3 linked regions of the Daphnia pulex genome follow. Each later gene encodes a partner of the first gene's protein in a complex. Links are inferred from orthologs where the notes say so. Each region holds a gene or a part of one and is shown in the gene's direction. Other genes may lie near its edges.

Evidence for each region.
Region 2: eukaryotic translation initiation factor 3 subunit M-like (region 1) and COP9 signalosome complex subunit 5-like share a complex: the UniProt entries of both Caenorhabditis elegans proteins name them as parts of the CSN complex. The link is inferred for Daphnia pulex from reciprocal best matches to the Caenorhabditis elegans genes cif-1 and csn-5.
Region 3: eukaryotic translation initiation factor 3 subunit M-like (region 1) and eukaryotic translation initiation factor 3 subunit G-like share a complex: the UniProt entries of both Caenorhabditis elegans proteins name them as parts of the eukaryotic translation initiation factor 3 (eIF-3) complex. The link is inferred for Daphnia pulex from reciprocal best matches to the Caenorhabditis elegans genes cif-1 and eif-3.G.

Annotation. Positions count from the first base shown.
Region 1 is NC_060019.1:9,155,541-9,166,050, reverse strand, and holds eukaryotic translation initiation factor 3 subunit M-like, read left to right. Parts: upstream 1-4,038; 5' UTR 4,039-4,177; coding exon 4,178-4,219; intron 4,220-4,455; coding exon 4,456-4,563; intron 4,564-4,622; coding exon 4,623-4,777; intron 4,778-4,839; coding exon 4,840-5,058; intron 5,059-5,119; coding exon 5,120-5,277; intron 5,278-5,332; coding exon 5,333-5,440; intron 5,441-5,499; coding exon 5,500-5,852; 3' UTR 5,853-5,954; downstream 5,955-10,510. Other genes in the region: succinate dehydrogenase assembly factor 2, mitochondrial-like, read left to right, coding at 230-289, 353-408, 476-556, 625-898; cysteine--tRNA ligase, cytoplasmic-like, read right to left, coding at 984-1,153, 1,226-2,096, 2,171-2,361, 2,441-2,668, 2,734-3,466; DPH3 homolog, read left to right, coding at 6,207-6,314, 6,383-6,457, 6,589-6,657. UniProt on the Caenorhabditis elegans protein: Component of the eukaryotic translation initiation factor 3 (eIF-3) complex, which is involved in protein synthesis of a specialized repertoire of mRNAs and, together with other initiation factors, stimulates binding of mRNA and methionyl-tRNAi to the 40S ribosome.
Region 2 is NC_060026.1:5,020,171-5,030,831, reverse strand, and holds COP9 signalosome complex subunit 5-like, read left to right. Parts: upstream 1-5,257; 5' UTR 5,258-5,325; coding exon 5,326-5,465; intron 5,466-5,525; coding exon 5,526-5,760; intron 5,761-5,818; coding exon 5,819-6,013; intron 6,014-6,073; coding exon 6,074-6,271; intron 6,272-6,335; coding exon 6,336-6,593; 3' UTR 6,594-6,653; downstream 6,654-10,661. Other genes in the region: transmembrane protein 65-like, read right to left, coding at 6,989-7,303, 7,510-7,577, 7,637-7,690, 7,763-7,930, 8,001-8,079; dynactin subunit 3-like, read left to right, coding at 9,937-10,029, 10,089-10,173, 10,240-10,413, 10,469-10,587, 10,652-10,661. UniProt on the Caenorhabditis elegans protein: Probable protease subunit of the COP9 signalosome complex (CSN), a complex involved in various cellular and developmental processes.
Region 3 is NC_060023.1:11,172,371-11,183,159, reverse strand, and holds eukaryotic translation initiation factor 3 subunit G-like, read left to right. Parts: upstream 1-3,680; 5' UTR 3,681-3,797; coding exon 3,798-3,817; intron 3,818-3,884; coding exon 3,885-3,925; intron 3,926-3,992; coding exon 3,993-4,231; intron 4,232-4,296; coding exon 4,297-4,464; intron 4,465-4,530; coding exon 4,531-4,681; intron 4,682-4,692; exon of another isoform or gene 4,693-4,801; coding exon 4,802-4,914; exon of another isoform or gene 4,915-4,984; coding exon 4,985-5,115; exon of another isoform or gene 5,116-5,274; coding exon 5,275-5,293; 3' UTR 5,294-5,376; downstream 5,377-10,789. Other genes in the region: dynamin-like, read right to left, coding at 613-762, 831-904, 971-1,134; tRNA (guanine-N(7)-)-methyltransferase-like, read right to left, coding at 2,498-2,635, 2,695-2,796, 2,877-3,021, 3,085-3,238, 3,303-3,421, 3,490-3,566; flocculation protein FLO11-like, read right to left, coding at 5,513-5,701, 5,778-6,772, 6,828-7,806, 7,870-7,952, 8,013-8,139, 8,204-8,365, 8,491-8,526; ras-related protein Rab-30-like, read left to right, coding at 8,921-8,950, 9,062-9,118, 9,188-9,271, 9,591-9,774, 9,836-9,987, 10,095-10,127, 10,212-10,313. UniProt on the Caenorhabditis elegans protein: RNA-binding component of the eukaryotic translation initiation factor 3 (eIF-3) complex, which is involved in protein synthesis of a specialized repertoire of mRNAs and, together with other initiation factors, stimulates binding of mRNA and methionyl-tRNAi to the 40S ribosome.

The DNA of each region.
Region 1 (10,510 bases):
AAAGGTTTCGCAAATGGTTTCGCACTTTAGGATGCCCTTAGGCCATTGGACCCGCGAAACGGTCCCCAATTTTTGGGACCGTTTCGCACCACTGTTTCGCGTTTTAGGAGTTTCGCGTTCCGCCGTTTCGCTTCGCGTTTTAGTAACACCCACTTTTGTTTACGACTTTTACGTAACTCAGTAAAGACGTTTTGGCTAGCTTCATAATTTATAAAGAAAAATTTTCACAATGGCTCAATCAAATATTTTTTCTCGACTTCTACATCCAATCAGACAGTTAACATTTAGGGTAGGTGTTGATTTGTTAAAGAATGGTTCATGAAACTAAATTGTTATGTAATATTTTCAATAGTGTGATAAAGTTACCGTATTGAGATTTCTGTCATCCGACACCAGCAGCGGAGATATGTATGAATTCTATAATCTTAAGATTTTTTTTCATTGATAGAATAATATAAGTTGTTAAAAATATCAGGTACCCCTCACCTCAAACTGAACCATGGATTCCACCATATGTTGAAAGGGAAAATGAGTCATCCACTTTGAAAAAGGCCAGGTATTGGTTTTCTCTTCAATTACTTATATCTGAGTTTATTGTTGTAAACAATTTTCACATCTCCACAGACTAATGTATCAATCCAGAAAACGTGGTATGTTGGAAAATGGTTTGATTCTCAGCACATTTGCCTCACGCTACTTGGATGGAATGAGTGATGATCAAATGTCTTTATATGACAGACTGATCAATTTACCCTCAAATGATTGGGATATTTACTATTGGGCAACTGGTGTAAGAGAGACACCTGAAGAGTTTAACAATGAAATCATGGATCTATTGAAGGATCATGTAAAAAATAAAGATAAGGAATCAAGATTTAAACAACCTGATTTATATTGATGATTTCCATATGGATGATTGTATTTAGAATTGATTTAATACATCTTAAATCTTATTTTTCCCACCAACTTATTCTTGTATTGCATCAACTCTCATTCTTTGATGAAACCTCCAGCAAGTATGCTTTATAAACTTTTTCTTGGGCTTGCCATAGTTTCTCCAACTTCTTAAGCTGGCCTTTGCTGACTTCTTTGCCATCCTTGTCTAAGGTTGGCATCCCTTTCTCGTCGAAAGCAGAATATTTATCCGTTTCACCTAGATCAAAGAAACACGTTAATCATTTAAGTTATAATGATTGATGGCACAAACAATTAAATCTATCTTTACTTCTGAATAGTTCAGTGGGAGGCATGCGTCGTTTTGCTTCCTTTTCGGCTTCTTTGGCTGCTAATTCAGCCTTTTTACGTTCTTTCTCAGCTTTTTTGGCTTCCTCAGCCAATCTTTTGTCTTCTTTCTCCTTAAGCAGTTCCTCACGTGGGACAAGCTTCAAAGCAGGAGGCTGATTTTCCCGATCTTCGAGTCTTACGCCCAGGTTAGGCAAAACGTCATCTCGAATTTGATCGCAAAGTTCGAGAACGCGTGTTGCACGTAATTGACGAGCCTCTTTTCTCACTTCTTCTCGGAAGTCTGCGAGCGCTTCAAGGACAGGCATTACGATTTCTTCAACATTATCGGTACCTCCACTAGACGATTCAGAGGGGAATCCAAGGGTTTGCTTGCCTTCAATCACGCCAAAGATCTGGAACAACCGCGTTACATATTCGGCAATGACCTTGATTAGAACCCGGTTGGCAGATTGCTTCAGCTGTGCCAGGTATTTATTGCAAGCCGATATCATGCTTTTAATCGCTTCCAGAGACGTTTTAGTGTCTATGTTATCGCAGAGAGCTTCCCGTACTCGATTTTTCGTTTCGACGAATCGGGTGTTGACTTCCTGCTCAGCTGTGCTCCATTTTTGAAAATATTCTGCGGCAGTATTCGATGACGGGCCATTCCTCAAAAGATCCTTGGCATTTAAGAAGAATTCCCTTAGCATTTTTTCGTAACTCGATGCTTCATCCATTGCACTGTCACTATAGTCGAGTGTTTCTTTCCATGGGTGAAGCAAGAAAAAGATGCGCAATTCGCGGCTGCTATTTCTACTCAACGCATCTTGTATGGTGATGAAATTCTTGAGGGATTTAGACATTTTACAACCCTGTAGAATAATGTCCATTATAGTTTTCTATTGGGTGGAAGAACGGAAAAAGTTTACGGAAGTTTGTATAGTACCTGGATGGTCAGATGACCAGTATGAAGGAAATAGCGAACCCATTCATCATTATCGTAGTAGGCTTCAGATTGGGCTAGTTCATTGTCGTGATGAGGGAACTTTAGGTCGACGCCTCCTGTGTGAATATCCATTGATGACCCTAGAATTGCACTTGCCATCACACTGCATTCAATATGCCACCCAGGACGTCCTGAATAGAATAAAATAAAATAAAATAATTTAATTATTAATTCATTACGTTGGTTCGACATTTTTTAGTTGAATTTTACCTTTCCCCCAAGGAGAATCCCAGGAAGGTTCACCACTCTTTGAAGTTTTCCATAGCGCAAAATCGTTAGGTGATTTTTTCTCACTTAACCGATCTTCAGAGACACTTAGATCACCTTCTCCTTCTTGCAATGCCTTTGAGTCACCGTAAGCTTCAGGTACCAATTTCGCATACTTGTGATTCTTTTGCGAATCGAACTTTGAGACATTGAAGTATACAGAGCCATTTGCTATACAATGACAAAAGAGTCATTAACCGTGACGAGATAATAGAAAAAAAGAGATAAAAACTCACCTGAATATGCAAGTCCACGTTCAATGATTCGTGAGATGTAATCCACGATCTCCGGGACATATTCGCTAACACGCGTAATAACATCGGCTGGTAGAACATTGAGAGCGGCCATATCTTTGTAAAACTCTTCTTCCCAATGTCGCGGAAGAGACGCGAAAATTGCGTTATCTGAAACATCCATGCCGTGCTTCGAGTCGAGCCAATCGCTCAAGACGTCTTTGGCTTCAGCCAACAAAAAGCTCTTTGCTTCGGATAATCCTTGACCAAGCTTGATTGTTTCGGTGAATTTTTCAATCGCGGCAGTGACTTTGGCCAACATCTTCTCCTGCATAACTTTCTTGTCGGGATCGGTGGTTACTGCCATTTGCTTAGAAAGACGATCAACAGATTCCTTGACATCTGTTTGAAGAGTTTCAAGTTCACTCATCTCAGTTGCATACTTTTCATATAAATAATTTTGCCTTGCTCTTTTAATAATTTTGTCGTCAATATCAGTGATATTCATTACATAAGTAATGTCATATCCAAAGTAGTCTCTTAAGACCCTTCTCAGGATATCAAAAGACATGTATGAACGGGCATGTCCCATGTGGGATGCATCATAGACTGTTGGTCCGCAAGAATACCAGGTGATATTTTTCCCATTCTGAGGAGTAAACACCTCCTTCTTACGAGTCAGACTATTGTAAATCTTCAGCTCCATGCTGCTGTTGTTTAAGGGGGCTTCAGACATAATAGGTGAACAAGGTACAACCAATTTCTCAATGTGTTCCAAAAATTATTATTTATCCCTTCGAAACTTCTCACTCTGTAAGTAAAATCTAGTCATTAATATTTTGAAATGTCTGATGCAATAGTTAAAATGTCTTACTTACTTCTATCTTCTACCTAAATTGCCAACCACTCCAACTATTATATATTTTTGCGATTTGCACGTTAACAGATTTGTGAATGTCACCAGTTAACTTTAACGTTATAAGGAAGTTAACAATTAATAAATTTGAAAAATAAATGCTGGTTCGAATGATAACGATCAAATGAATCCGAAACCGGTGCGTACCTTTGACGGTGTATTCGGTTTGTTTCTTCCAACACCGCAACACGTCAAGTTAGATAGAAATTGCGAGTGAGCCGATAACAGCGATAACAAATGTGGTGATCTTTTATGCTGCAATTTTAAAAGGTAGTAATTTTTTTAATAATAATTTTAAAAAATCAAGAACTGGTTTTAGAAAATTTTGGAAAGCGTGAAAGTGTTGAAACAAAGAATTAAAAAAAAAAAAAAATCGTTGATTTATCTGTAGGGGAACACGGTGGCAATGTCGCCATTACAGACGAACTTCTGTACCGGGATCGTGAGCGTGGCCTATATCCGGATTTTTTTGACAAGCAACTTCTAATAAAGGAATCTTTTTTTCCAGTTTGTTTTGAACAATTTATCAGGATGAGTTTACCAGCATTTATCGATTTAACGGTCGAAGAACAGGTTAGTTTCCCCATAAATTTAGTCCGGTAGATGCTAAACTGTTGTGGCGATGAAGTGTGGAGTCTGCCAGTAGCGTACACCTTTCTGTGTTATAGACAATTTTCCCTACTAGTATTTCTAATTTTTATACCTGTTTTACCACCTGGAGAAAGCAAATAACTGTTATATAGTACTGAGACAAAATTTAAGACATCAAGGCTTTGAATTGGTCATTGTATTCATATCTGTCTTTTTAGGCTACTGAATTGTGTAGCTATTTCAAGGCTCTTGGAGCATCAAATGTGGATGATGATCAAAACTCAGATCTTAGCAACATTGTTGCTGTTGCAGATCTCTGTTTCAAAGTAAGTGACAATTTTATTTCAATTAGTAGTGTGTGTTTACACTATTTTCTTCTTTGAAGGAGGGCAATGAAGTGGAATCTGAGGGAGTCTTGAATAGCATTGTATCTATGCTCGTTCTTCTCCCCAATGAAAAAGCTGAACCAATAATTACTACGTTTTGCCAAAAGCTTGCAAAACCCCCCTCAAACAAGTTGGGACTTGTTTGTCTGAGAGTGTGAGCATTTGAAATTTGAAGTTTACATAATGAATTGTCTAACTATAATTTTGATTCTTTAGTCTGTCTGTACTATTTCATGGGCTTGATCCTGTGAGTACAACGCGTTACACGGTCTATCACACGCTAGTCCAAGTTGCTGGACAAGTGGAACAGATGAAGACAGTGTTCACGGATCTAGATAAAATGCGTACTCAACTAGGGCCATGCAAACCTAACAACGAGCAGATGCAAAAACTCCTCCGAAGTTTACATGAAGCTCTCCTCAACTCCAGAGAAAGGTAAAGTATTGAAGTTAAACAAATAATTGTAACAATAAATCAAACCAGTGTTATTATTCAGTGAACTGGCCTCCAAAGTGATGGTGGAGTTGTTGAGCACTTACACGACCGAAAATGCTTCACAGGCTCGTGAGGAAGCTCAACGCTGCATTGTTGCTTCATTGGCTGATCCCAACACTTTCCTTCTCGATCATTTATTGACTTTGCAACCTGTGAAAGGTTTATAAAAATTACTTTGAAGTTAAATCAGTTATTAATTAATTTTTGTGTACAGTTTTGGAAGGTGCCCTTTTGCACGATCTGTTGACCGTATTCGTGACGGAAAAGCTGTCAGCTTATTTGAAGTTTTATGAGGAAAAGAAAGATTTTGTTGAAGGACTAGGTATTTACTGGAAATTTTTAAGTATTTTTTTAAGAATTTTAAGTAACAATGATTTTTAGGTCTGAAACATGAGCAGAACCTTCGAAAAATGCGAATTTTGACTTTCATGCAGTTGGCTGAAAATTCCGTAGAGCTCCCTTTCGAAACGCTCGAGAAGCAATTACAACTAACCGAAGATCAAGTAGAGGAATTTGTCCTTCAAGTCCTTAAGACGAAATTGGTGCGCGCACGAATGGATCAGTTGAACAAGAAAGTGCTTGTTTCATCAACCATGCATCGGACATTCGGCAAGCAGCACTGGCAGCAGTTGCGTGAGTTGCTGACTACTTGGCGAGGCCACCTCAGACAGGTCAAAGATTCCATGCTAACCATCGTTAACGAGCAAGCCGAACTTCTCGCTCAGCAATCCTGAACCGATTAGAGAAGAAACAAAAGACTTCAAATTATCCCGCTATCCATCTCTATTAAGGTTTTGTGGAAATAAACGATGACGCCGGCACATTATCTGACAAAATCAGACTTTGATCATTATTTCTGTTTTGTTTCCAACATACTGTTGTTTGAAAGTAGGGTAGGAGATAAAAAAAAAATTCTTTTTTTATTATGCTTATTATATGCAACGTGTAAACGTGAGTTAATTCAGGTAGTCTGATTTTTGGCCGGCAGATGTCTCTTTTTCTCACGTGTTGTCTTTTGAAGATCCACACATTTTTGTTTCAGTAGTTGAGAAAAATCTTTTATTTATTACTCAGAATTTTTGGTGAAAATGTCTGTCTATCACGATGAAGTTGAAATCGAAGATTTTGAATATGATTCGGACAGTGAAATTTACTTCTATCCTTGCCCTTGTGGAGATCGGTTTGAAATCACCAAAGTAATGTGACGTCCCCATTCCTTACTCAGATTCCAAGCTTATTAAAAGGTTTACTTTTATTTCAACAGGAACAGCTAGAAAATGGGGAAGAGGAAGCCACATGTCCGAGTTGTTCACTTATAGTAAAAGTAATATACAACAAGGTATGTATATGAGCAAGTGGAAGTTCTGGAAGCAACTGGCTTTCAGCCTGTATAGCATTACACAATATGTCTAATATTTAGTTTTAAAATTTACTTACATTCATGAATGACATATTTATTTAAACATACAGGAAGAATTCATGCAGAGCGAGGAAATCACGTATTCATCCCCAAATAAGAAAGAGTCACTCACAACATAAACTAGTTATTTTAGTATACTTAAGTAGGATTGAATAATTTTCAGAAATTGCATTTTTTTGTGTATTAAATTTTGTCCATTCTAAAATTTGCCATGAAGAATCACAAATGAATCTTGTCATTTATCATTCTTATTGCTTCTTTCACGATTGATCTGTCCAATTGAGCTTGTGATCAATCCTCTACTGTTAGGATCTTCTTTATTCATTTCCTTTTGCTTTTCTTCTATGTCTTTCATGAACAACTTCCTAAAATGAAAAACAATATTCAAATATCTCCTTTGCTGGAATGAAATTGAGATTTATCAGTTCTGTACTGAGCAAGTCTTTCAATGTCTCACCGATATTGAAACCCCATGTAGAATGTTCCCAAAATGAATCCTTATGAAGAAAACAATTTTTAACCAATTACTATTCAATGGCTTTGTAATTAAATTTACCAAAAACGATTGGAAATCGAAGAAAAGCAGCTCGACTCCTTGACGAATTTTTCATTTTCATCAGTACCTACAATGTATACTGTATACAATTATGGGTAGATTGTTATTATGAAGTAGTTTTTGATCATGGTCGTGGTCGACCATTTGGAGTAGAATGATCTGTGCGGCATCTAGCGAGGACTTCCTAACTTGAAATTTTACGAAGGTCTCGGGAATTTTCAATCGAATTAATTGAACGTTATTTAATGAACGTTTACGTTTCGGGAATTAATAACTATTACTGATATAGTGATTAATGTTAGAAGTTAAATGAAATTAAACTATGTTTAAAATAACCATTAGCTTAAGAGAGGTTGACTTTGATTACCATTACCATGAAATAAGAATTTTATCACACTGTAGGATGATGATGATAAACTTAAGAGAATGTGTCAATGTGACAATTTCTTTCCACTTGTATTGTAACTACTAGGATCAAAGGAAATAGTTAGCCATGTTATGTTATGTTCTTTTGCTCATCAGTTTCAATATTCTCTATTGGTTCTATGCTGAATTTAGTTTCTCTGCTGCTAGTTTTAAACATTTTGAATTTGCCTTCTTTTGCAAGTTCCTTCATCAAGTCATTATACATTTGTTCCTATTGTTAAGAGAAATGATTAAATATGATAAATTTGGTACAGTACTATTATGAATTTTCCATTACCACTTTTTTCTCATCTTTTGAAACATTTGAGATGGATGCTTTAACAAAATGGCCCTTAGAAAGCCATTTCCTTATATTGTTTAATTTTGCATCCAAGTCATGCTTTTCAATTTTATCTTTAAATGTAATCATCTTGGGAGACTTCTTCTTAAGTTTGGCAAATCCTATCAAACAAAGCACTCAATTTTCATCTGACCAGTATGTAATTGAACTTCTTTAATGTTTACACCTGAATACCTTCATCATGGAGTTGGGAATCAATTGAAGAAGAATAACGACGAATTAATTCCAACGAACCTAACTGGATAGTATTTACTTTTGCGTGGGGGCGAAATTGATTTTTAGCTGCAAGCAAGGTAAACCTTCGAGCTTGGCTTATAACTCGACTCATGGTTAGAATTGCATCACATACAGGGACAGTCGTTCATATTTAAACTGACCTCGATATTCGAGCAATAAAAGTATAAAATCTTTAGCAACAACCAAATGGCAAATACAAACTTAAAGTATCAAAAATAATTTTCTACTCGTTAATCGACTTGTTTTGAAAAACAAACGTCTGCTATATGGAACGCCAAAGTGACGCAAAATTAACTGCTTGAAATTTACTGCAATTCACCACCGCCGTCTAGCGGGCGGACCGAAAATCGTCGTTTCTCTGCCTCTTTTGGGGAGGGGTTCTAAGCTATCGATTACAATGCAATAGTTAGCTTAACAATTGATTTGCAATCGTCTCAGACGAATGTTATTGTTTACAATCGCAAGGTAAAAACAAAAAAATCAAAGTGGTTCTTTTTGCTCTAGCAAATTTTCATTAGAAGGACATATCTAATAAGTGAAGCCGTGATGAACCCTTAAAACTCATAAGGTAAGTCTTCTTTACACTATTTCGGTTCAAAAAGAATGCGAATGTGAATTTAATTGATACTCTGCTGTTACAGGAGAAGTGTTGATGATAGTCAAGGACTGTCGAATAGGCCATTTGCAAACGTACTTGCCCAATCACCGACATAACTCGAATTTGATTGATTGATGGAAATCTCTCAGTTCCGGACATGCAGGAAATACTGCATGCATTAAAAGGTACTCCATAACTTATTTCCGTAAATAATTTTCTAACTTTGATTTCATACATTTAGAAAGCAAGGTTAAAGAGAAAGCAGTGACAGTGAGATACCTAATACAAAGAGGCAGATTGCAATCACATACTTCAACTCAATAGTCCATGATGTAAACTTGGCAGGTGAGTTGTTGTCGAAATTTTTTAAATCTTACAAAGGCTTGTTATTGTCTTTTCGTCAATTCTAATAAGTCCCAACACATTTATTTAAGCTCAATTGTTAATGGAATTTATTGACAGGTGAATGTGAGCAGTATCATACTGGGTTTGCCAAGAACACCGAACACCCCAATACCAATTTGTTGCACTGGCCATGTCCACAGCGGACTTAATATCTTGAATAACTGCCAGAAGAATGGATTATTGGACCTGCAAAAAACTGAGTCTGTAACTGGGAATTAATTAATTGAAAACGAGCGTTGTTACATGTTTGGTTGTAATGACTAGACAAGTTGTGGAATTCCGGAATAATTAAATTTTTTTTTCCAAATTAGTTCTACCCGGGAAGGTACTCTACAACACAGCTGTGACGGTCAGGATCAAGTGCGACAACCGCACTTGCTTTACGACAGCGAGGACGAGTCAGACGAGCGGGACTGCCATTCGGCTAGCCCGTGCACCGATATAATAAATATTCTTTAACAAAATAATAGAATGATTTCTGTCAATCAACATTGTCATCATAAGTCAAATGTGATTCCCCCCAATCGTCTACTGCTCAAATTTTTTCAAGAAATAAACGAGAATTCTTACTTCTCTTTGCAATTCAATTAATTTTATTGATTAATTAGCTTTTTTCATTCAAGAGAATTATTTTTAATGTAATTAACTCTAATAATGAAGTTCTTGACGTACTTCCCGTCTCATCTGTATGTATCTCCTTTTGGCTATCTTTAATCGGCATAGGATCGATCCGTATTTTCTTTTGAGCCTACGCTGAATTGCTCGATCAATATTTATTTCTATTGCGGGAACATGAAGCTGCTCTAAATCATCCTCAATATCTGGGAGCTCTCCATTGTAATCTATGTTCTAAGTGAAATTAAAGTTGCATGTAAAGACGCCAATGCGACATCAGTATTAGCTTAATAATACCTGGTCCAGTTCGGTGAAATATAAATTATTTTGTTGCGCCCTTTGCCGCAACCTTCTCAAACCTCTAGTGAACAGTCTTGAAGGTGATAAATTTCCACGTACTGTCCGCAGTCCATGCCGATTCCAGCTGCCAACAAATTCATCTATAAAAGTTTGGATAACGGGAAGGAATATGACATGTAGGCAAAAGAGATCCTCCTCATTGTCAGGATCCAGTAACTGTCTTCGTTCCAGTCCTCTGAAATATGAAATATATTTTGTTAAATCTTATACTGATGTAATACTTTATCAGATGGAATTTACAAGAACAATGATTGGAATACATGCACCACGCCATTGTACACATCAACCCATAACCGCTCAATTCTTTGATTATGGACTGAACGTCCCGTTAATATGCTACCTCGGTTGAGCCCACGGTATGTTAGCATGAACTGGGCAACTTTTACGTTCTCCCCACCATGATCAGTACTATAAACAACGCATACAAATATTAAC
Region 2 (10,661 bases), on another chromosome or scaffold:
CTAATAATAAATTCAAATATCGTTTTGCTCCAGATCAGCGTGTGTTCACTATGACAAATACGAATGACTAAACATAAGGAAAGCTTGGAGCGCTGAAAACGTCTAAGGTAAAGAATTAGAGCTTCTCCTTCAAAATAAAAATTTATCTTATTTCCTTTTAAATAATGTACATTTTAAAAAGCAATAATGAGTATAGCACACTAACTAATTTCCAGTCTTCATGACGGCTTAATTAAATAAACCAAAAAGCACAAGTTTATAAATGCGAAACTTACTTCATTAATAGCTTTGGTCTTATCTTTGCTTGCTTAAAGGTAATGGGATTACAAATTAAAAAAAAAAAAAACATTACTGATTTTGAAAAAAAAAGTATTTTAATTAAATGGAGAACAATCAATTTACTGAGAATAACAATTTTATTACTTGATTTCAGTTTTCGAGTTGTTTATTACTTCAATTGTTAGAACAAGTATATCACGGAGAAAGCTTAGGCTTTTTTTAAATTATCAGCATTATTACGAATAACTCAAATTGGTACGTGAATTCCAATAAGCGATTTTTACACGAAGCAACTACTTTCTCTAGGAACATTAAGGCTAATTCACAGGAGATTCTTTACTGCAATTTTTGGTTTTTGAATCGAGAGAACCACCAGTCTTTTCCAAAATTTGGTAAATGTCATAGCTGCAACCAAAATCTATGCCATATCCTTGTTTGAGGCCATAAGGGTTTGAGGGTGTTTGACAGTCCATGTTTGATTCTTTGCGTAATACCGTGTCTATATCCACTGACGAGAAGAAAGCAACGGCCTGAGGTAAATCATTCAAATTCATTTGATATGAAAACATGCACCGGGTCCAAAGGTTTGCGACTTGTAACGCTAATGCAGCACGGAATTTATCCTCTTCCTTAATTATGTACCGAACTTCATCGTGAATGCTTATTGAAAAACGGCCTTCAATTCTAAAAGAAAACAAATTCAACACTTAAGGAATTGCATAAAATTAAAAATGATAAAACAACTACTAACTTGTACACATCAACGAGGTATCGCATTGCCACAATCATCAAATGAAGATAGTCGACGGCGGAACTCTGGACTACCCAATTCACGCGACTCGTCATGAATTCGTTGCCAACATTTCGGGGTTCCAAGGCACGACTGATCCGGCAATGTAACACTGGAGTCTGCGGCGACTCCGACTGTGCAATTTCTTCCAGTTTGTTGAACATGTGTGATTCGGTTCCGCCAGCCCACATTCGCCGTTCAACTAATTCGTCTGTCGGCAAATTGGCGATCTTCTTCAGGCTGGGTTCCTTTCTTGCATTTTTTCGCATTTCACTTAATTGTTCTAGTGTTACCAACTCATCTTTATTTCCCGAAGCAGAGGCTAATTGCCGCCCATAATGACTTAATTTGAGGAGAGAATTACCCTTAGTCAATGAGTACATTTTGCGGGCTTTTTCTGTAGCTTCTTTTTCGGTTAACCGGTGATTGAACTGCATCAACAAAGTTCTTGCGAATCGTTCGCCAGCCCCATAAATTCTTCCATAATTCAAAATTTTGGCCTGATCTCTCGTAATATCAACGGCTGCAGCGGTTCGGCTGTGCATGTCTGTCCCATCACTTTTTTTGCCCTGAAGAGTCATCCAGCCAAAAGCAGTTGAACCGTGTTGACCGGCGAAAAATGAGTCCCCAATTATAGATGCAATCCAAAGTTCTTGAGAATCAACATCCGCACCGACAAAGTTAAAGCCAGGAGGACATTGGATCATAGCCTTTAATTCTGATCCTATCCGATCCTAAACATCCAGAATACTTGAGAATTTTAAATTTTGTTTGAATATAAACAATAAAAAAAAATACCTTGTACGCATTTGAAGCTGTCAACCAGGTAGATTCAACTGCTCTTCGTGTGAGAGTGCCTGACGTTACGATCTGTGGTAGAATGGCCCCATACGTATTCAATGGGTCAAAATGTTCAGATTTGGTCACGTTGCGAGGAATTTGAGATTGTCGAAGCCACACAACCATTTGTGACATAATGCGATCGCGAGCGTTTCTCCAGTAGATGACTGGGATTCAAGAAGACAGAAAGAAAATATTATACTATTATAAATCTATCTTATATCTATCTTATAATCTGTCGATTATAGCTTACTATTGCGGTTTAGTTTTAAAACATGTTCGGCAATGGAACTTGAAGTGGCTTTTAAAGTACCGTCTTCAATTTTGTTTAAGTAGTCTTTGGCAAGCGGATTTCCAACATTGTTGTCAACACCAGATTTATGCGGGAGTCGAAAAAACCAACAACCAGCCACACCAACGTCATAAGGGCCTATTCCTACGTGCCAAGCAGGTCGATCGGATGTCAAATAAGTGTGTTTCTCTTTTGATTTGTCAATCGCAGGATGAAGATTCGCTTGATCTGCGTCGTTGTTTAAACTTCTCCGAGTAGCCTATAAAAAGATGGGTGGTAAGTTTGGCGAGAAAAGGGTGAAGCTGGGAAAATAAAGTAAAATCACCTGCCACTGCATGGCCAAGTCAACAGGATCAGCAGTCAAATCCGTCATTTGTCTAAGCTTCAGCATGGCTTCTTCAGCGGTAATAATTCCTTTAGTCAAAACATTTTGGTCAGCAGGCCGAGGTGGGAAAAGGGCTAATGCTTCTTTCAACGGAAAAGGAATCTCACACACATCTTCATCGATTCGAGACAAATTTAAAGGTCTCCCTGGAACAAGATAGCCCCAACCTAGTTCACGACTATGAAAAAGTGGATATCCGTCCCAGGTCAGTTTGAGTAGTTTGGGTACCTGGGTAAATGGGTAGTTGGGTTAAATATAATAAATAAATATAATGGGTACTTGGGTACTTACTACTTGGGCTGATGTTGACACTTCAGTTGGGCCGATCAAACCATCTTGAAGGCGATCGCATAAGGAGCTGTACCAATTTGGGTAACTACGGGATGAAAATAATGTGTTTTAGAAAAAGAAATAAAATACTAACATAAATGAAAAACTGAGATTAATACCCGGGCAAGAAAGAATTGCGTTTGAATAACAGTTCCTTGGTATTGAATAATTCTTGAAACTGACATTTTAGTTTTTGAATTTCAAGAATCTCATCGTCGTTATCTTCTTTATTTGTTTGATTTTCAGGTTCTTCATTATTTATGCTGGGTATAACAGCTGCGCTTTTTTTCTTTTTTGGCACCGACGTTTTTTTCACTTTCAGCGGTTTCGTTGACCAGTCAAGATCCCAAAGCCAGGGATCCTTTTCGTAGGATTTATCCGTCATCATATGGGATGCACGGTCAGCTTCTCGTTTCAAGCTCTGGGTTAATTCATTCTCTGAATCACGGTATGTATCTTCAGATTCTTGCAAATATCGTTGCCAATTGCGATTTACCGGTAGATACGATGTACTCATTTCCAACATCCCAGCCAACTAGAAAAATAAATTCAATAAACTTGAAGAGGAAAATTTATCTGAATAGAAAAAATAAATGCCAAAAATGTTATCTATGAAAAAAAAAAACTTACCGTGACTGGGTGTGGGAATCGCTTCTGAAACTCGGGGAGAAGAACACAAAGTATTCGGTAAGTTGCTTGACAATCTCGTGCACAGTAAGTTACTAATTGCTGAAAATCGTCTTTAATATCTGTTAGAGAACCAGTTACAAAGATGTTTCGCTTCTCTTTATCTAAACCTAATCCTCCGCAATAAAGTTTGTGCACATCATTTAAACCGTTAAATGAGCTGACATTTTGCCACTCTAGAATTTCTTCCGTTTTTCTTGACTTGCCATTACAGTACTGGGGATTTTTCAGAGAACGATCAATAGGGGTACCAGATTTTGCGGCAAGGAGCATGTTTCTTTGAAAACTCGTGATGCCACTGATCGCTATGTGCAAAGCCATCGTATCAAAAAATCGAACTTTGGTGCCATCGATGAAATACTGCTCTTTTATTCGCGAACGGTCATAACTTACATTATGTCCTATAACGATACGCTCTTTTTGATCTTTGAGAGGGAGACGGTCTTGTTCCGTTTTTGATTCCAAGTTGATCAAGTCCTTTAATTCATAAATACTTTCCATATCCTTCAAAATTGAACTTTGCACCTGTCAAGTAGGATAATAAAGCATTGATATAGGGTGAAAAAAGTATTAAGAAAAATAAAAATAAACCTTATTTTCAGTAAACAGCTGATTACTACACCATGAGTACCAGTAGTTTTTTGAAACTGCAGTTGCAAGGGTTGGCAAATGGCCCTCTTTCACACAGACTTCCACATCAAAGACATATGCATCCTCTTCTGGAAAATGAACTAGATCCATCTCTCCATTTTGGTTGTATCTTGTCCATCCAGGTGCAAAGTTCCAGACTTGAGGGATGTCTGGAATGCAATGTGATGTCAAATCTAACAATTTATTACGGTAACTTCCACATTGTTTTTCAGCAATTTTTTCAAAGTGTTCTGCTATGTTTTTTCCTAATAAAGTTGGGAGCTTCAAATCAATATCTGGGAGTTTACTTGGTGATTTGCCATAAAGATGGTGAATTGATAAATGCTGCTGAATTTTTAACAGCGTTTCTTTAGATACAGAATTGTTGTTTTCTTTTTCGAATATCTGTCGATGGATAGATCTTGATAACATTTGTATACCACACGGATTAATAGTAACACATTTGTTTGAAATAGATACTTCTTCTTTGCATTGGCTTTTTGTTGAAAAATGTATTCTATAATTATGAAGAATATTTAAACTAGATAATGAATATTTCCAAGGTATTTTCCTACGGTTATGTTTAATTTGCCACACTCGAAACGAAAGCATGTTTGGAAACAAGTTTGAATTTGTTTATCGGGCATCGGCAACTCCACGGTAAGAAATAGTAAAACGTGGGAAAAAGAGTAGATAGGGATTTAGTGGTGAGGCAATGGACAATGGACTAATGGAGTAGGAGAAGTCAGAAGTACTGAAGTAGCAGTCGTAGCAGACTAGGCAATCGCAGTCGTCCAATCCATCCCTGAGGCTGAAATCCTACGTTTTACTTTGTTCCTACCACCGCCGCGACCCGCATTTTACCTCTTCATTCTCCCAGCAGCTCCCAGTATGCCAAAGGCAAAACAAGACCCGTAGGTCGTAGTCTCGTAGACGACATCAACAGTCGATGAGATTTAGTTTCCGGCTGTACGTTTGGATTTGATATATTCAGCACTGGTATACCTCGTTCGAATTTCCCCATTTGGACTTTAGAGTGTCTTTTGCAAAAAGAGGTTTCAAGTAAAATTGGTTGTGTGTTCCACATCCAAGATGAGTTCACAATCTAACATAGCCCTGAATAATTGGCTCATGGCTAATAATGTGGAAAATATTAGTTCAGTTGACGAAATTTATCGATATGATAGAAAGCAACAGCAAGACATGTTGGCTGCTAAACCATGGGATAAAGAGTAATATTATTTTTTATTTTGTATCAAGTCATGTTAACAACTTTACGTTTTATGTTCTAGCCCTCATTTCTTCAAAGAGATCCGTATATCAGCCTTGGCATTGTTGAAAATGGTTACTCATGCTCGGTCTGGAGGACATCTAGAAGTGATGGGATTGCTTTTGGGCAAAGTAGATGCAAACACAATGGTGGTAATGGATGCATTTGCCCTGCCAGTTGAAGGCACAGAAACCAGAGTAAATGCTCAGTCACAGGCTTATGAATACATGACTGCTTACATAGAATCAGCTAAACAGGCAAGTACATTTGCTCTTGATCACATTTTTAAGTAACTAATTGGAATATGAGTATTAGGTTAATCGTCTTGAAAATGCCATTGGATGGTACCATTCACACCCTGGATATGGATGCTGGCTATCAGGAATTGATGTTTCTACCCAGATGCTTAACCAAAATTTCCAGGAACCCTTTGTTGCTATTGTTGTAGATCCTGTTCGTACTATTTCAGCTGGCAAGGTGTGTCTTGGTGCCTTCCGTACATACCCTAAGGTGAACAGATATATTTTTCTATCAAGCGTACAGAGTAGTTTACTTTTTATTTTTCCTTAGGGTTACAAACCCCCAAATGAAGAGCCAAGTGAGTATCAAACCATCCCACTCAATAAGGTTGAAGATTTTGGTGTCCACTGCAAGCAGTACTATGCCCTTGAGGTTTCTTACTTTAAATCAGCTCTGGATCGCCGTCTATTAGACTCATTATGGAATAAGTACTGGGTCAGCACATTGAGTTCTTCATCTCTCACCACAGTAAGAACAAATATTCAAAGCGTTATATCATGTTATAAAAAGTATTAATATCTCTTTTTATTAGAATGCTGATTATACAACAGGTCAAGTATCGGACCTTTCGGAAAAACTTGAGCAAGCTGAAAACTCTCTAGGACGGGCGGCTCTAGTCGGAAGCGGCGTTGGTGTGAGTGGCTCCAGCATTGAGGATAGAAGATCGGAAGATAGGCTAGCTAAAGCAGCTCGTGATGCTACAAAAACTTCCATTGAAGCTCTTCATGGTTTGCTGGCTCAAGTAATTAAAGATCGTCTGTTCAACCAAGTGCGTTCAAGGCCTGCGTGAACCATCTCGTTTTTCTAAATATCCTCTGAGAATCCTTAATAATAAACTGGCTTATGCATACCATTTTGTTTGTGTTTTCTGTGAATGAGTTACCAAGTGTTAGAATATATTGTATTGAACATGTAAAATTCTTTGGCTATATCTCTAATAATGGGGTCAAGATTGAACAGCAATTGTGGGCAATATAAATAATTGTTATGTGAAGAATCTCCACGTTAGTTCATCGGAATGCTCAAAAATGTGCAAAACAATAAGAATCGAACATTAAAGTTGCCAAGTCGCAGTAGGATCCATTGCCATTGCGCGGCAAAATGTCATTTTTATGAGTTTAAATAATTATTTTAGGTTCACGTATTTGTAAGGTTATAAGACTAATAATATATCGGACATGCCAATCACAAATGAGATGAAGGGTCCTTTGAATGCCGTTTGCTGTCAGATGTAGGTAAAAATAAAAGTGGTACCATTCCAAGCACACATCCTATAGCAACACCAATAGCACGTCCGATATTAATGGCCCAAGTAGTTGATCGAAAAGCATATTGCCGAGGCTCGAGATCGGGTTGAGGAATTCCTAGTTTTTGAGAAAAAGACTCGACGAACTGAGCAGATCCTACTCCAGCAACATCAGATATTGCATTTCCTATTCCAGCTGCTGCCATAGTAGAAATACCAAACATACTTCCAATTGTTAAATCTATGTAGTCACCCTGATAAAGTGAAATATAATATTATGTTAAAAATGTTTGAAGCACATTCAATAACGGAAATAGAGGCCGTCCATAATGAAACCACGCCTACAGGAGTGCGGCAAGTAAGAGAAATTTTTATGAGGGAAATTTAGAGGGTGTAAGAAATCGCGTGAATTAACGTATTTTATGGAAGGCCTCAATTTAATCCACTTTGAAAAACCTACAGCAATAATCATGATAAAATTGTCCAAAAATCCAAACCCAATGAAAGGAAGGGAATAATGTATTCCAACTGAAATCAAGAATGGACCATTAAGTAAAATTGCAATATAAATAATATTTCTAGTTTACCATGGAAGAGCTGTGATGTTCTCAGAGAAGGAGGTGGTGAATTGTCTGAAGACACTGTCAATAATAATGTAAGTGCATCACTTCAACAACAAAAAAAATAATTTCTTTAAGTAATTTGTTTTTTACTTTGTGTTTGCTTTAATAAAGTAGAAAGAAGGGAATTTTGTTGTGCTGGTGATAGATTTGCAACCCATTTTTCAAAATTTACTGTGGGTTTTGGTTGAGCAAAATCTGTTTTAGAAGGTTCTGTTTGAATTTTTTTGGTACCTAAAATCTTCAGATGGCATTTTCCCCCTAAAAACCAATAATAAACATATTTTCACAGCAAACATGGAATAAATTTATAATAATTCTAAAAATCTACCATTAAGCAATAAGTTGGATGAAGTGAAAAAGGAGACATTCCTCTTGGAAATACAATTCAAAATTGGTGAATGAAACATTCTGTTTACTAGGGTATTTTTTCTAAAAGGTAAAGTTTTACACTACGACGAATTAATCAAGTGGGTCCAGGAAAATTAAGTTTCAAGTGATCGGTAAGTTGAGAAAATCAAAATGCCTGTGCTGACTCAAAAGCAATACCATGAACACGGTAAAAAAACGCGAATAAATACGAATTTTTATGTATTATGACGTCAATGAAGTGCGTGATTGCCACACCAAAAGGACCAACTATGAAATGAAATCGTTCGTGATGTTTTCGCACGATCAATATAACAAAACAAACAAAACGGCAGACGGCACCTCGATCTTCCTTTTGATGCAGTGTTCTTCTATGCCACCATAGGCCCAATGGCGCTGTCTGTGGAAATAGTTCCAACGAGTTCCAAACCTTCTACCTAGTACCTTTCTTGGCTGCTTTCTTACTCAGCATAAAAATGTTTGTTTTGTTTTTCTAAAGAGAGAATTCCATTTTAATGTAATCAGAAATCACCGATGGTCCACTCGAGGGTTTTAATTCCATCCAAAAAATTCAAAAAATTTTTAAAGAAAATGAAGCGTTGCTGTTTGAGGCAACTCAGGCTTTGCGGCGGGACGTTCCTGACACACTCACTTGTATCTGTGTTGTTCATTACTGATTCTCGCATAATTCATAAATGTTTCGGTGACGAAAACGAATTCTTTATATCGAAATTAACATAAATCAGTGTAGCACCAAAACAATGTTAACCAATAAATGCGGTCTAGAATAAGTTATAACTTATAAGTTTATAAGGATTTACGACGTTCAGACCGGGCCCTTCAGGCCAGTACTGGGAACCCTTCGGGACAGACGGGGCCAGCCAACAAAACAAACACTGATTTAGGTACTTGCCTGAACGTCGGTCACCCGCTTATAACCCTAAACGACTGCGAAAGCGTGTGAATATTATTTTCCCGATCTTGCACTTTTAACATAAATTTGCTGGCTTTCGAGCAAAGCCAAGTAATAGCGCTATACTGTCGAGTTTAGATCGAGAAGTTAGATAATTTCAAATAGCGTTACGCATCCCATGTGCTATTTAACCCTTTTCTTTTTTTAAATTTATGTCATGAATTTTTATTAGAGGGCCGGTAGCTTCAGAAAAACGAGCTTCTGGGATTGTGCAGGAGCTACATGATTATGCAGTTAACGCCTAAATCATAGATAAAGACCAGTTGTGAGCGGTCTTTATCTATCCCTTAAGGACTTAATGGTATTACAACAAACAATATAAAGTTCTTAAGTTCAGCTTATTCCAGTGCGAACATTAAAAAAAAATATATATATATATATATTTAAAAATTTTTTGCGGGTTTAACTTAATCACCGTCCACCGTGGTAGAAAGTGACAAAATGTAAACAAGACGTCCTAAATTTAAATGCAATACCGTTTCAGAAAATGACTAGCAGGTGGCGTAAAAATCGCCTAAGGATATAAAAATATTACACGCACCGTGTAGCCCTAACCCTGAATTAAATTTAAATGAAAAGCAATTAAATATCTAAAGATTTAAAAAAAAAATTATTAATCACGATATTTGGTCAATGTACAAATCTTTGTTAGAATTTTCCTTTTGCGTAACCACAGTAAGCATAACACACAGCGTTGCATTCTATTATTATTTTTTTAATTTTATTTACTTTTTCCTAACAGTGAGCGCAGTGAGTCAGTGACAGCTGCACACAGCTCATCTCATAGAGCCGAGAGCCTACACCGGATAACTATATTACACCTTTCATTATTTTTAATTTCAACAGCGGCATTCAGAGAATTAGGCATATTTCACATTTAGTGATCCCCCAAAATCTCGAAAGTTTTGATTCAAGTTTTTACAAGATGAGTTCTGAACTGGACGCTGTTGAAGAACGACTTAAACGATTAGAAAAATATGTACTGGGGGAAGATGTCCATCGACAAGATGATGAACAGGTTTTACGAAATTCACATTTTTATGGACTATTATTATTACTGAGCAACTCTTATTTAAGTTGATAGATACAATGCTGGCTGTTTCACGAAAGTTGGCTAGTGTTGTTTCAAAAAATGAAAAAGTATCTTCTGCTCTGAAAAGAGGTAAGATGAAAACTTAAAAAAAAAAATGTTTTTCATGGATAACAATGTCAGTTAACATGTCTATAGCTGATGAAGTCAAGAAATATGCAGATCCTTTATATGCTGAATCTGATGGTTTTATGCCTGAAGCTGTGAAGCTTCAGCTCCTACTATCTAAGGAAGAGGATATGAAAGAAGCCCTCAACCACTTTCAAAAGATGAATTTGTTAAAACCCGTTCTTGATAGTCAAGCGATACAAAGTATTAGCAGCAAGATGAAAATGAAAATGATTTTATAACATATTTTAATTAATAGATGTGCCTCAACTAGAAAGTCAACTTTACAAAATTTCTTTGCTACAAGAAAGTCAAGAGAAAAAAGTGTCTAACCTATCAGATGATACCTATGCATTGATTAAGAACTATAGTAATTTTGTAAGTCTTCAGTTTTAAAATTGTAGTTACTGTAATATTAATAATTTCTTTTGAATATTTACAGGTTAACGATG
Region 3 (10,789 bases), on another chromosome or scaffold:
ACATTTTTAATGGCTATTTCAAATGCTACTCCGGTTGTCGTATAGGCAGAGCAATGGCTGGATTCATTCATACGAGTGTGTTGAGTCGACGGGAGGCTTCCCCTCTAGGTGGTACCCAATCTAATTACTCTCTCAACTATTTAGTCTGTCGATCAAGTCGTCGTGGGGAGCCTAGTCGGACGGGGGGTGATGAGGCGGTTCTTTGGCTACATAAGAGAGAATGATCGATGATGCAAGAATCATGGAAATGTGGTCGACCAACGAGGGGGGTTCCTTATTTTTCCTCTTTTTTGTATAGTGCCAATCTCTCGCAGCGGGCAGGAGGTATTGATCCGTTCATCCCGAGCAATGCTCGGGACTGCACACTTTTCTATATGTGGACGTATACTCCAGTGTGAGTAGTGATGGGTCGGAAGATTTAGACAAGGGAAAGAACTTGGCGACATGTTTTGGCCACCACCATTACTTGTAATGGTGTTTTAATAACGCCGTTAAACCCTCCCAAAGTCTAGTTCAATTGTGTGACATTTTAAATTCTTAAATAAATAACCATTATCAAACTCTAAACTTTTCTGTAAGTAAAGTTGGACTTGTGAAGTAAAATTGGTTTACCGTGAGGAGAGTATACTCTCAAATTGATGGGCAAGTTGGATATTCCTTTGTTGGTACCAGTTAATCGGTCAGTGTCTGCCTCAATTTCCTTACGAATCTCATCAAAGTCAGCAAAGATCTTTCCTTTGCAGTGCAAAAACTCTCCATATTCTGAAAGTTCAAACATATTGATTATTACTCACAGATATAACATGTATTGCATTTGCCAAGTTACTTACCCTGAGGAGAGTTGATCAGCTGCAAGATAAGGGGACGTCGAGTGACAATGCCAGAGCCACGAGGTAGGAAATCCCTGCACAAGTGAAAAAACAATGAGTTATGAGAAAACAAAGGGGAGGTTTCTCGAAATTAATCCCACCTGCCAACAAAATTTTCCAGCACAGAGCTTTTTCCTGCACTTTGCCCACCCACAACAGCAATTTGGGGTAGGTCAAGAGACATTTGCACCCCCAACGAAGTGAAGGCATCTTGCAATTTATTCACGAGAGGAATAAGGGATTCCATTCCCTGATTGCCTGCCATTTTCGATGGTGTTTTCGACGGTCGAGCCTAACGTTACAAAAAGAACTCGGACCAGTCGGGAACTTCCCCACTATGGCGGACCACAGAGAGGATTGCACAATGAAACGAAATTCACAAAAAAACACAAGAAGACTTTCAGGGAGTTGGTTAATCTTTTTTCAGCCACAATACTGTCGGTGGAACCGTGTTTGACGTTGGGTAGAGAATGACAGCGGTTGGAGAGAGCGCACCAGCACCGTCTCTCATAGCACGAACTGGCTCGAATATGGCCAGGCCAACTCAACATGGCTGCATAGACTGTGAGATACGCCACACAGCGGCCGATTGCACAACCGCATCGGAAAGTGTCCCAATATTGACTCGGGGATCGAAGAAATTTCTATAAGACGAAAAGCCGTCGGACCGGAGCCGAACATATTCAAGTGTTTCCCATCCGTCAAGTGTTTAAATATTTCAAACAAAATAAAACTGCAGGAAATCATATTACGCAGCACAAATGGGTCACGCTGATGCGCACCATAAATTTTCATCGGAATATTATTTCCTTATATATTCTTTCATCTACCGCCTGCTAGGATTTCACATCCTATAACAATAAACATCACTATCAGTGATGCAATCTCGTCTTAGTCACTTAGTCGGCTTAGTGAAATTACATTTATGCCACGCTCCCCGAGTTTCAACCCATCCCATTTTCACAGCGTCGCAGAATTCCTACGCGCCTAATTCGATTAAGATTTTTACAAAATGGTATTCAACACGAATAACAATAAGTTGAAAGGATGGATGGTGACGTTTTTTTTCCACGTTCCTTTGCTTCCCATGAAATCGTCAGCTGACACATGGTCGATACGTAGACGACGGAAACTTAACACGATTTTTTTTTTCTCTATGAAGCAGATTATTGAACGTATCGATCGTATGAGCAAATGAATCAATAAGAACTCAAGCTCCACAAAAAGATACAAGTTAATCCCTTTGAAAACTAGAAACATTACAAATCAGGAAATCATTCATAAAAGACCCTTCAGTCAAACAGATCTACAAATGGATTGCCAAAAAAGAGAATGTTAAATTTATTTCCATGAAACTTTAATTCAAAGTGCCCATTCGTCATTTGACACGTTTGCGCGCGCTCCCTTTTCAGTTACAAAATACCGTACATACCTTATGAGTTCTTTGTCAACAACTATTGATCTTGGAAAATTTGTCTGTTCTGCGCATGGGCGATGCATACATAAAACGTGGGTCACCTATTTTGAATGGCAGCTTAAAGCTGGTTGATTATGTGAATTCCAGCAAACAGTTCCATTGGGAGCAATACAAGTGACGAGCAGGGAACCGGCAAACAAATTTGTATACATTAGCACTTGTTTTCTTCAAGTACGAATGGATCAGGAATTCTTCTGAATACAGCAAGAAATTTATCACCACTATTTCGCGTGACTTTTTTGCCCTCCTCCGTTGATTCGTACAGTTTTGGAACTACAATGTCTTGATCCTGATACCGCAAAAAGAATTTGTAGTTTTATAGCTATTTAATTATAAAGTATAACTAACCAGCTCTTCCTGGGTTAGTCTCTTAAATAATGGATGTTGGTCTAGATGCATAACCATCCATTCATGAAGATCTTTAACATCAGTAATTGTGTAAACCAAACCCTAAAGTAAAATTTAATTAATCACACAAGATATCTACATCAAGTAGCTAAAGAAGGGCCGTTCTAGGCCTGCCTACTTACCCCTTCAGCCAAAACATAGGCATATTCAGCCAAGAGAGTGTCATTGATAATACGCCACTTGTGTTTGGCCTTCTTAAAATGAGGATCAGGGAAGAGGAAAAACATTTTTGTCAATTGTCCTTTATCGAAAAAGCAAGGGAGGTACCTAGTAGCATAGAATAAATTAAGCAAACATGCCCAAGTAAATGAACAAAATAAATGTAAGTACTTCATGGCATTGCTTCTTAAGCAGGCAACATTTCCGTAATCACCTGGATGCAAAATCCTCAACGCCTTTATGCGATCCTGGACATATTCTGAAACTTTCAAACGAATCTCCATTCCTAACATTAAAGTCTCTGGGAACATGGTGGATAATGATACTGTTAAAAAAAAATACAAAATTAATTTTCCACATATTTTATTGGCAAAATGTGATAAAAATACTCAATAAACCGCCATAGCCACATCCAATATCAGCAAACTGAACTTTGTGTTTCATTATTCCATCTTTGCTGAATGTAGGATAGAGCTCATCCCATTTCATGTCATTGGGAGAGACAGGACTTCAAACGACAAATTGGGTTAGAAAATGACTTAATGATAAATCGAAAACTGGAAATAAGATACTCACTAGTCAAAACAGTGATCTGCGATAGGATTGGAGTGTGCTCTTTGTCGATAATATTTTTTCTGTGGTAAGCTAGCCATTTTTGCTGTATTCGAGTTCCACGTGCCGGAATCTCATAAACGGCGGGATTGTATTCGAAGAAGAGCAGACGAAATTGTAAAAGCAGTCAAAATTACGAAATGAATTTTTCAAAACTGGCAATGTCGCTCTACACACGTTCTAATGGCTGCTTGCTGACACATTTCTGCAATAGCAGTGAATTTTCTACTTTTTGATTATTTACTTGACGTAATCAATCTTCTCCAAGAAAAATGCCGGTTGCTGATAATGAGTAAGTGAAATGAGACAAATTAATGTGCAAATATTAAAAATACAACACAATCTTGATATGATTTCAGAGTTAAATCCAGTTGGGCCGATGACGTTGAGGATATCGATGGTTAGTAATGCCGCTTCCCCGTAATTAATGTAAGATTTTCTTTAATCATGCCGGTATTATTCCTTAGGTCTCGGTTTACCCCCTAACACTGAAGAATACAAAAATGGGCTGAAAATTGTCACAGAGTATGGTCTTGATGATGATAACAGGAAGTTCAAGGTGGTGCGTACTTACAAAATAGAGAAAAGGTATGTAGCTAAAGCCATTGCCCAGCGTAAAAGTTGGCCAAAATTTGGTCTTTCCAAGGAAGATAAACCAGGACCAAACCCTGCAACAACAATTGTATCTGAAGATGTAGCCATGCAGGTATTTCTTTTCTCAGTTGATCTATCAAAACCGTTGGATGCTAATTACCATTTTTACTTTGACAGTTTATTACGAACAAAGAGGATCCTGATAACAAGGAAGATGACCCTCTTATGAAGTTAAAAAGCATGCAGAAGGGCATTGTTAAGTGTCGTATCTGTAAAGAGGACCATTGGACAACACAGTGTCCTTACAAGGACACACTTTTGCCTGTCCAAGAAGCACTCAATAAGGTAAACACATTTTCTTTATTTTGAATTGAACTCTTGCTAATTTTGCTCTATATCTCTTTAATTAAGGCTGAGGAGAAGAAGGCCGGCCCGCCTCCTGCCGCAGCTGCTGCTGGAGGACCGCAAGCCAAGGGTGGTAAAGAAGGAAGCGCCTATATTGCACCTGCACTTCGTGATGGTGGCAACAGAAAAGGAGAGACTATGGCTATGGGTCGACGAAGTAAGATACAGTTTCTTCATAGTAGTTTATTTCATATTATTAAAACCACCGGAGAAGTAATAGAAAACATACATAGGAAAAACATTATTTAATGATTACCCTTTTCTTTCCCGATAACAGCTGATGAAGGGTGCACTGTACGAGTAACCAACCTCTCGGAAAACGCTCGCGATTCCGATCTTCAAGAATTGTTCGGCCGTATTGGCGAAATCTCACGCATCTTCCTCTCAAAGGTTAGACTCAAATTTATTCACTAATTATCATTTTGTAAAAATTATGGCACCGCTTCAAACTGAATTTTAGGACAAAAACACTGGCCAATCCAGAGGTTTTGCATTTGTCAGCTACAAACGACGAGAAGACGCCGAACGAGCTATCAAGACCTTGAATGGTTTTGGTTACGACCATCTTATCCTGACTGTCGAATGGTCTAAGTAAGTTAGCTCTCAATTCACTTAATTTCATTCAAAATAGTTGTGAGCTGAATTTGAAATTCATGACTGGAATTTTTAAAATTTTATTTTTTAACAATTTAGTTCTTTAAATTGACGAGTCAAATGAAACTGATCTTTCTCTTTTCAATCGTTTAACAGACCATCGGGAACACAGTGAAAAAAGCCTAAAATTCCTTCATCAAATATTGGATGCTACGATCATGTAAAGGGATAAAAAAAATACACGCAAATGGATTCCAATCAAGCTCTTCAACCCTCTATCACAGACATGAACCGAATTTTCACCTTTCTCTTTTGTCTTTCTAAGCTAAACATCAAGGGAATGAGGATTACCTCACCTAAACATTATTTTTAAGTGAAAAAAAAGTAAAGTTATCTAGTTTTGCGCTGATTCATCCTCGGCTTGACGTGCAAGATGATAGCCCCTGCTGTTACTGCTAAAGCCTCGTCCTTTACGTTTTGCCAGGTACCAGGCTACAAAAAAGACTGTCGTGATAAAAATGGTGCATCCTAGAACTATGTACATCAGGGAAAGTGGATTCGACTCGATCAATGCGCCTGTTACCTGTATCAACACGGTAAACAAAACAGACGGGTTATAAATACGTAGTGGAAATCATTAGCATTTAAATTTAACGTACCGTTGGGAATATCATCTCTCCCATTGAAGAAGCAACTGAGAAAGCCGCAGAAATCCGGTTAGTTACCAGCAGGTGTGTTTCGGTCCATATGAAGCCTGTTGCGAAGGTTGAAGCCATTCCTACGCCAACCAAGGCCGAACCGACGTACAAAATAGTGGCGTCCGTCTGCCCAGCAACACAGAGAGTCATCGAGCCGAGCGCAGTAGAGCATAAGTTGAAAATGAGCATGGCTGTGGGATTGGTGAAGTGGGCAACGAAAATGGCTACAAATCGTGCGGCCGCGAACGAGGCCCAGAATGTAGTTGTGATGTAATTGGCAGTCGAAGTCGATAGCTTAAGTGGGCTCTCCAACGCAAATGTAGTAAGGAACTGAGCAAATACGACCTCAGAGCCGACGTACATCAAGTAAAACGAGAACATCAGCACGACGAAGGATATCTTGGCGCTGGGCCGGAAAGGTTTAACTTTCCGATCAGACGTTTGACGTTCGGCGGTCGAGCTGCGAGTTCCAGAACACAGAAAGAAGAGAAAGAAAAAGGCTGTGTGCAAGACGATGATGGCGATAACGGTATACAACATGTGCATCCGCGTAACTCCAAAACGCTCCAGATAGTCAGAAACTTTAACGGGGGACCGATCAATAGTCTCGCTCTCATTGTGGATGGGTGAATTTGTTGTTGTCACAAGTACGTTAGGCTCGGAAGTTGTGACTGGAAGTACGAGCGTAGTCGAGGGAACCACCGAGCTGACTTCATCTTGTTGACCTCTGCTCTTTCCACGACTCTTGACTACAACATTATCTGCAAGGTCGACTGGCAATGTTGTAGCAACTGGAATGGGTAATGAAATGTTTTTGATGGTCGTGGGTAGCAATTCTATCGAGGATGGTGTCGTCGTTGTCGAAGTTGTAGTTGAAACAGCCGTAGTTGATTGAGACGTCGTCGAAGAATAAAGAGGAGTTGTAGTAGGGAATGTTTTAACATTAAGTTCAGCACCTACAAGTTCAATATTAAAATCGTGTTTACATTATTTTCTGATTGTTAAAATTACCTTTTGTTACGTTGTTGATGGCAGTTTCTTTAGGCTGGAATTCAGCGTTTAAGTTTGATGAATTGATAACGGGTTCTACAGTAGTTAGAGGAATGGTGGTTATCGTAGAGTTTTCAGTAACAGGACTCAAAGTTGAAGAAGTGACGGTATCGTTTCCGGTGGATTCAGACGCATTCTTGGATGAAACGGTAGAAGTATTATTGTCACTGCTGCCGATATTGAGCCCTTGGACTTCATTGGATTTTTGGAGTATCATCGTTATTTCCGTCATGTTATCTTGAGCTTTCGGGGTACCATTGATGGAAGGAGGAATTGTTGTTATATCGGTGGATGTAAGCGTAATGGCGGGTGTAGTTTGATTTTCGTTGGATGACGCAGTCGTGGTAGTTACAACGACTTCCTGGGGCGGTTGAGTCTCTACTTTCAACGGAGTATTATCAAACTGCTTCGAAGGGCCTAGAATTTGGCCATTAATGACGGCAGGTTTCGGTTTCTTTGGCTTTTCTGTCAAGGGCGTTGTCTGATTTTGGTTAACAACTGGACTTATAGTTGTTGTCGATGTAACATCTCCAAATGTGGAATTGGATGCTGTTGGGATAGTTGAATTGGATGAAGGGATGGCTAGATTAGAAGTAACTAAAACTGGAATTTCACTGGTGGCTTTAATGATCGAAGCTATTGTTGTCATTTGATCTTCCGATTCACTTGAGTTGAGTGGATTAGTGACGGAGCGCACATGGCGTGATGAGATGGTATTGTTAAGGGTAGTAGTTGAAGTTTCAACGATGAAAGCCTGCACGAGCAAAGGGGCGATCGACCCACCGACGGCAAAAGAGAAGTGTAAAGCCTGCATGTAGGGACCCGATTCCCTTCCCCATAACTGAAGACAAAGGGTGCTAGCTCCAGTATCCAGCAGCCCATTACCCACTCCAACAACAAAAGATGAAACCATCAGCATCCAAACGTGTTTACACCATGGCTGTAGAAGAAAAAAGGATCATGATTTCAATTGCAGTAATTTTATTGATTTAAGCTTATTTACCATAGCTCCAACACTTATGGCCATTGAGGCAATAGCCACAAAAAATGCTGAATATGGATTACAGCGGTCAAGAAAAAAGCCACCTGTTATCAAATATAGATTTGAATTTGTGACTTGGATTGAGCATATTAAATTACTGTTACCGAAGAAAGCACCCCCTAAAGTTCCTATTGATCGGACTGTAAAGATGTAGGAAATTTCTGAAATGGTAGATCCAACTTGATCCTTCAGATATAGTAATGTAGGTCCAGTTACTGACATACATAGTCCCTATTGTAAAATGTGATACCTTGAGTAATTATGAACTCTTGACTGATAAACATGATTAACTTACAAGTGAAATATAGGCCCCACAGAGGGCTGCTGTCCTTGTCAATTTACCCAATTTATTTAGAGGTTTCTTGTTACGTACAGGATCACTCAGAAGAGGAGGAGTTAAAGAACTATCATCAATTTGGCTGTTTAAAAGGCCAAATTGTGATTGATCGTAGATGACCTATCGAGAAAAAAAAATCAATAAGCAACAACAACTTTAACAGCTGTCTTTCATAAGCAGCAATAAAGCTGTTTTTCATAAACAAACTGTGAATCATGACTAAAAGCAAGGGCCAAGTGAATTACCTCCTCTTCCAAGACATCACGTATGTGTCGTTCCATGAGAAGGGCTTGTTGTTGTGATCCTCACAGGTTTTTGAGTTTTTCAGATCACTTTCTGTTTCGTTCGCCATGGATTTTTGCTGGTAATTAGGGCTTCGGCTGTCACCTATCTACCATCATCACCAGGTGGCTGCGTGACTTACCATCTTGAATTATTGATCCACCGCAAGATAGCGCTGACATAGAAGACAACTCGGGAGCAGACATCACGAGCAACCGATTACATTCACATAGTATTTGTTCTCGGGAAACTTCTTGAATGAAATGGCTTGTTTAATCAGTGAAGCGGAAATCTCCCTATCTAGCCTTTACCGTTAGTGACTAAATGTGAAAAGGTCTCCTCAGAACTTTTAGTTTTTCGACTGCTATCTCGTAGATAGTCGATTTCATATCAATGGAAGATTATAAGTATCTATTCAAAGTTGTGAGTTTGACTTAATGGATTTCATTCAGAATTTAATGAAAGCTGAAGCCAGTTGAAATCATTTCAACTGTCACATCAGCCAACATTTCTTAATTTCTTACTTGTTTTCAGGTTTTGATTGGAAATGCTGGAGTTGGGAAAACTTGTTTGGTCAGAAGGTTCACTCAGGTATGACAATCCTGTTGATTTAATTAAACATACCACACTTCAATGTAAATTTTTACTTTATATTCAAAGGGAATATTTCCTCCTGGGCAGGGAGCCACAATTGGAGTTGATTTCATGATCAAAACAGTTGAAATTGATGGACTTAAAATAAAGGTAAACATTCACTGAATTTGTTCATCCCGTGCTTTGCAAATGTTGAATTAACAAACTAAAATTTAACTTGTAGTGGGAAAAATTCATTTAAAAAGGGATAGAATTCTGATCTATTTAAACTAATGGTTGTTAAAGTGACATTTTTAAGATGCACTTCTACTGCACTTTTCTTTCAAATTATTTAGAATGCAGCTCAGACTATATTAAAGTGTGTGAAAGGCTCCCATGTATATTTAATGGTTTGACTTGTAAAACATCACCAAACAAATTCTAAAAAAAAAAAGAACTTCTTACTAATAATTTACATTGAATATATTAGCTGCAGATCTGGGACACGGCTGGGCAAGAGCGCTTTAGATCGATAACCCAAAGCTACTACAGATCGGCACATGCACTTATTCTCGTGTATGACGTAAGTGCTCAACCAACTTTTGACTGTCTGCCAGTCTGGTTAAGAGAGGTCGAAGAATATGCAAGCCCCAAAGTTCTCCGAGTCTTAGTTGGTACGTAAAAAGAAACCCTTCACAAAAACCTAATTTCAAAAATCTAACTTTCTCTTCCTAGGTAACAAAGTCGATCGTGATGATCGAGAAATTCCGCCAGCAGTTGGAGAGGCGTTTTCACGAATGAATAACATGTACTTCATCGAAACTTCAGCAAAGGATTGCAGCAACGTTGACAAACTCTTTCAGGAAATAGCCAGAGAACTTATCCAGGTAAGGATTTTCTTCTATTTCAATAGTTTCTGTGGGAAAAAAAGAAAATCGTAGAATTAGTTAAATTTAAAAACGTATCTATTGTTTTTCGCTGCTTTAAAATAAAGACAATGCGAAACCAACGCCAGGAAACTAGTCAGGCAAGACAACCAGGAAATCGGTTGCCGAGATTATACGTATCCACTAATTGTACTTACTTTGTTTCGTTTATTGGATTTGATTAGGACGCCAACTCCAATGATGGACCCGTTGGTCAACAGGAGACAACTCACCTTGATGGCGCTTCCGAAAAGTCATGGTCAGAATCCAATTGCTGCAAGTCTTGATCTTCCGGTAAAATGATCTCTGAATAGCTTTAATTCCGTGCGATGTTGTGCTAATGTGTTTGGTGATGATCCCCTATTCATATTATAACTATCCTTAAAAAAAAACCCTAATGTATTCAGTATTTTGACCCCGGCCCATTGGCATTGTTTGATGTTTTTATTGTCTCGTCTTTCAGTTAAAAAACTGAACGTGAAATGGTTTTGATCCGAGGTTTCGTAATCTCAATAATATTCTTGTCCTGTTAAACGTACATTACATTAAGTCCTAGTGATGTGTGTAAATTGTAAATATCCTTTAACCAATATGATCTGCTTATTACTGTATGTCTTACCTATTATAATCGGAACACAAATTGTATGTTGGTTTCGTGAGTTTGGATCACAAGAAAATATATCCATTCCTGGTGAACTTACCTAGTTATAAAATCCTTATGCAAAGAAATTAGAAGTTTTACATAGATAAAACGTAAGTGAAA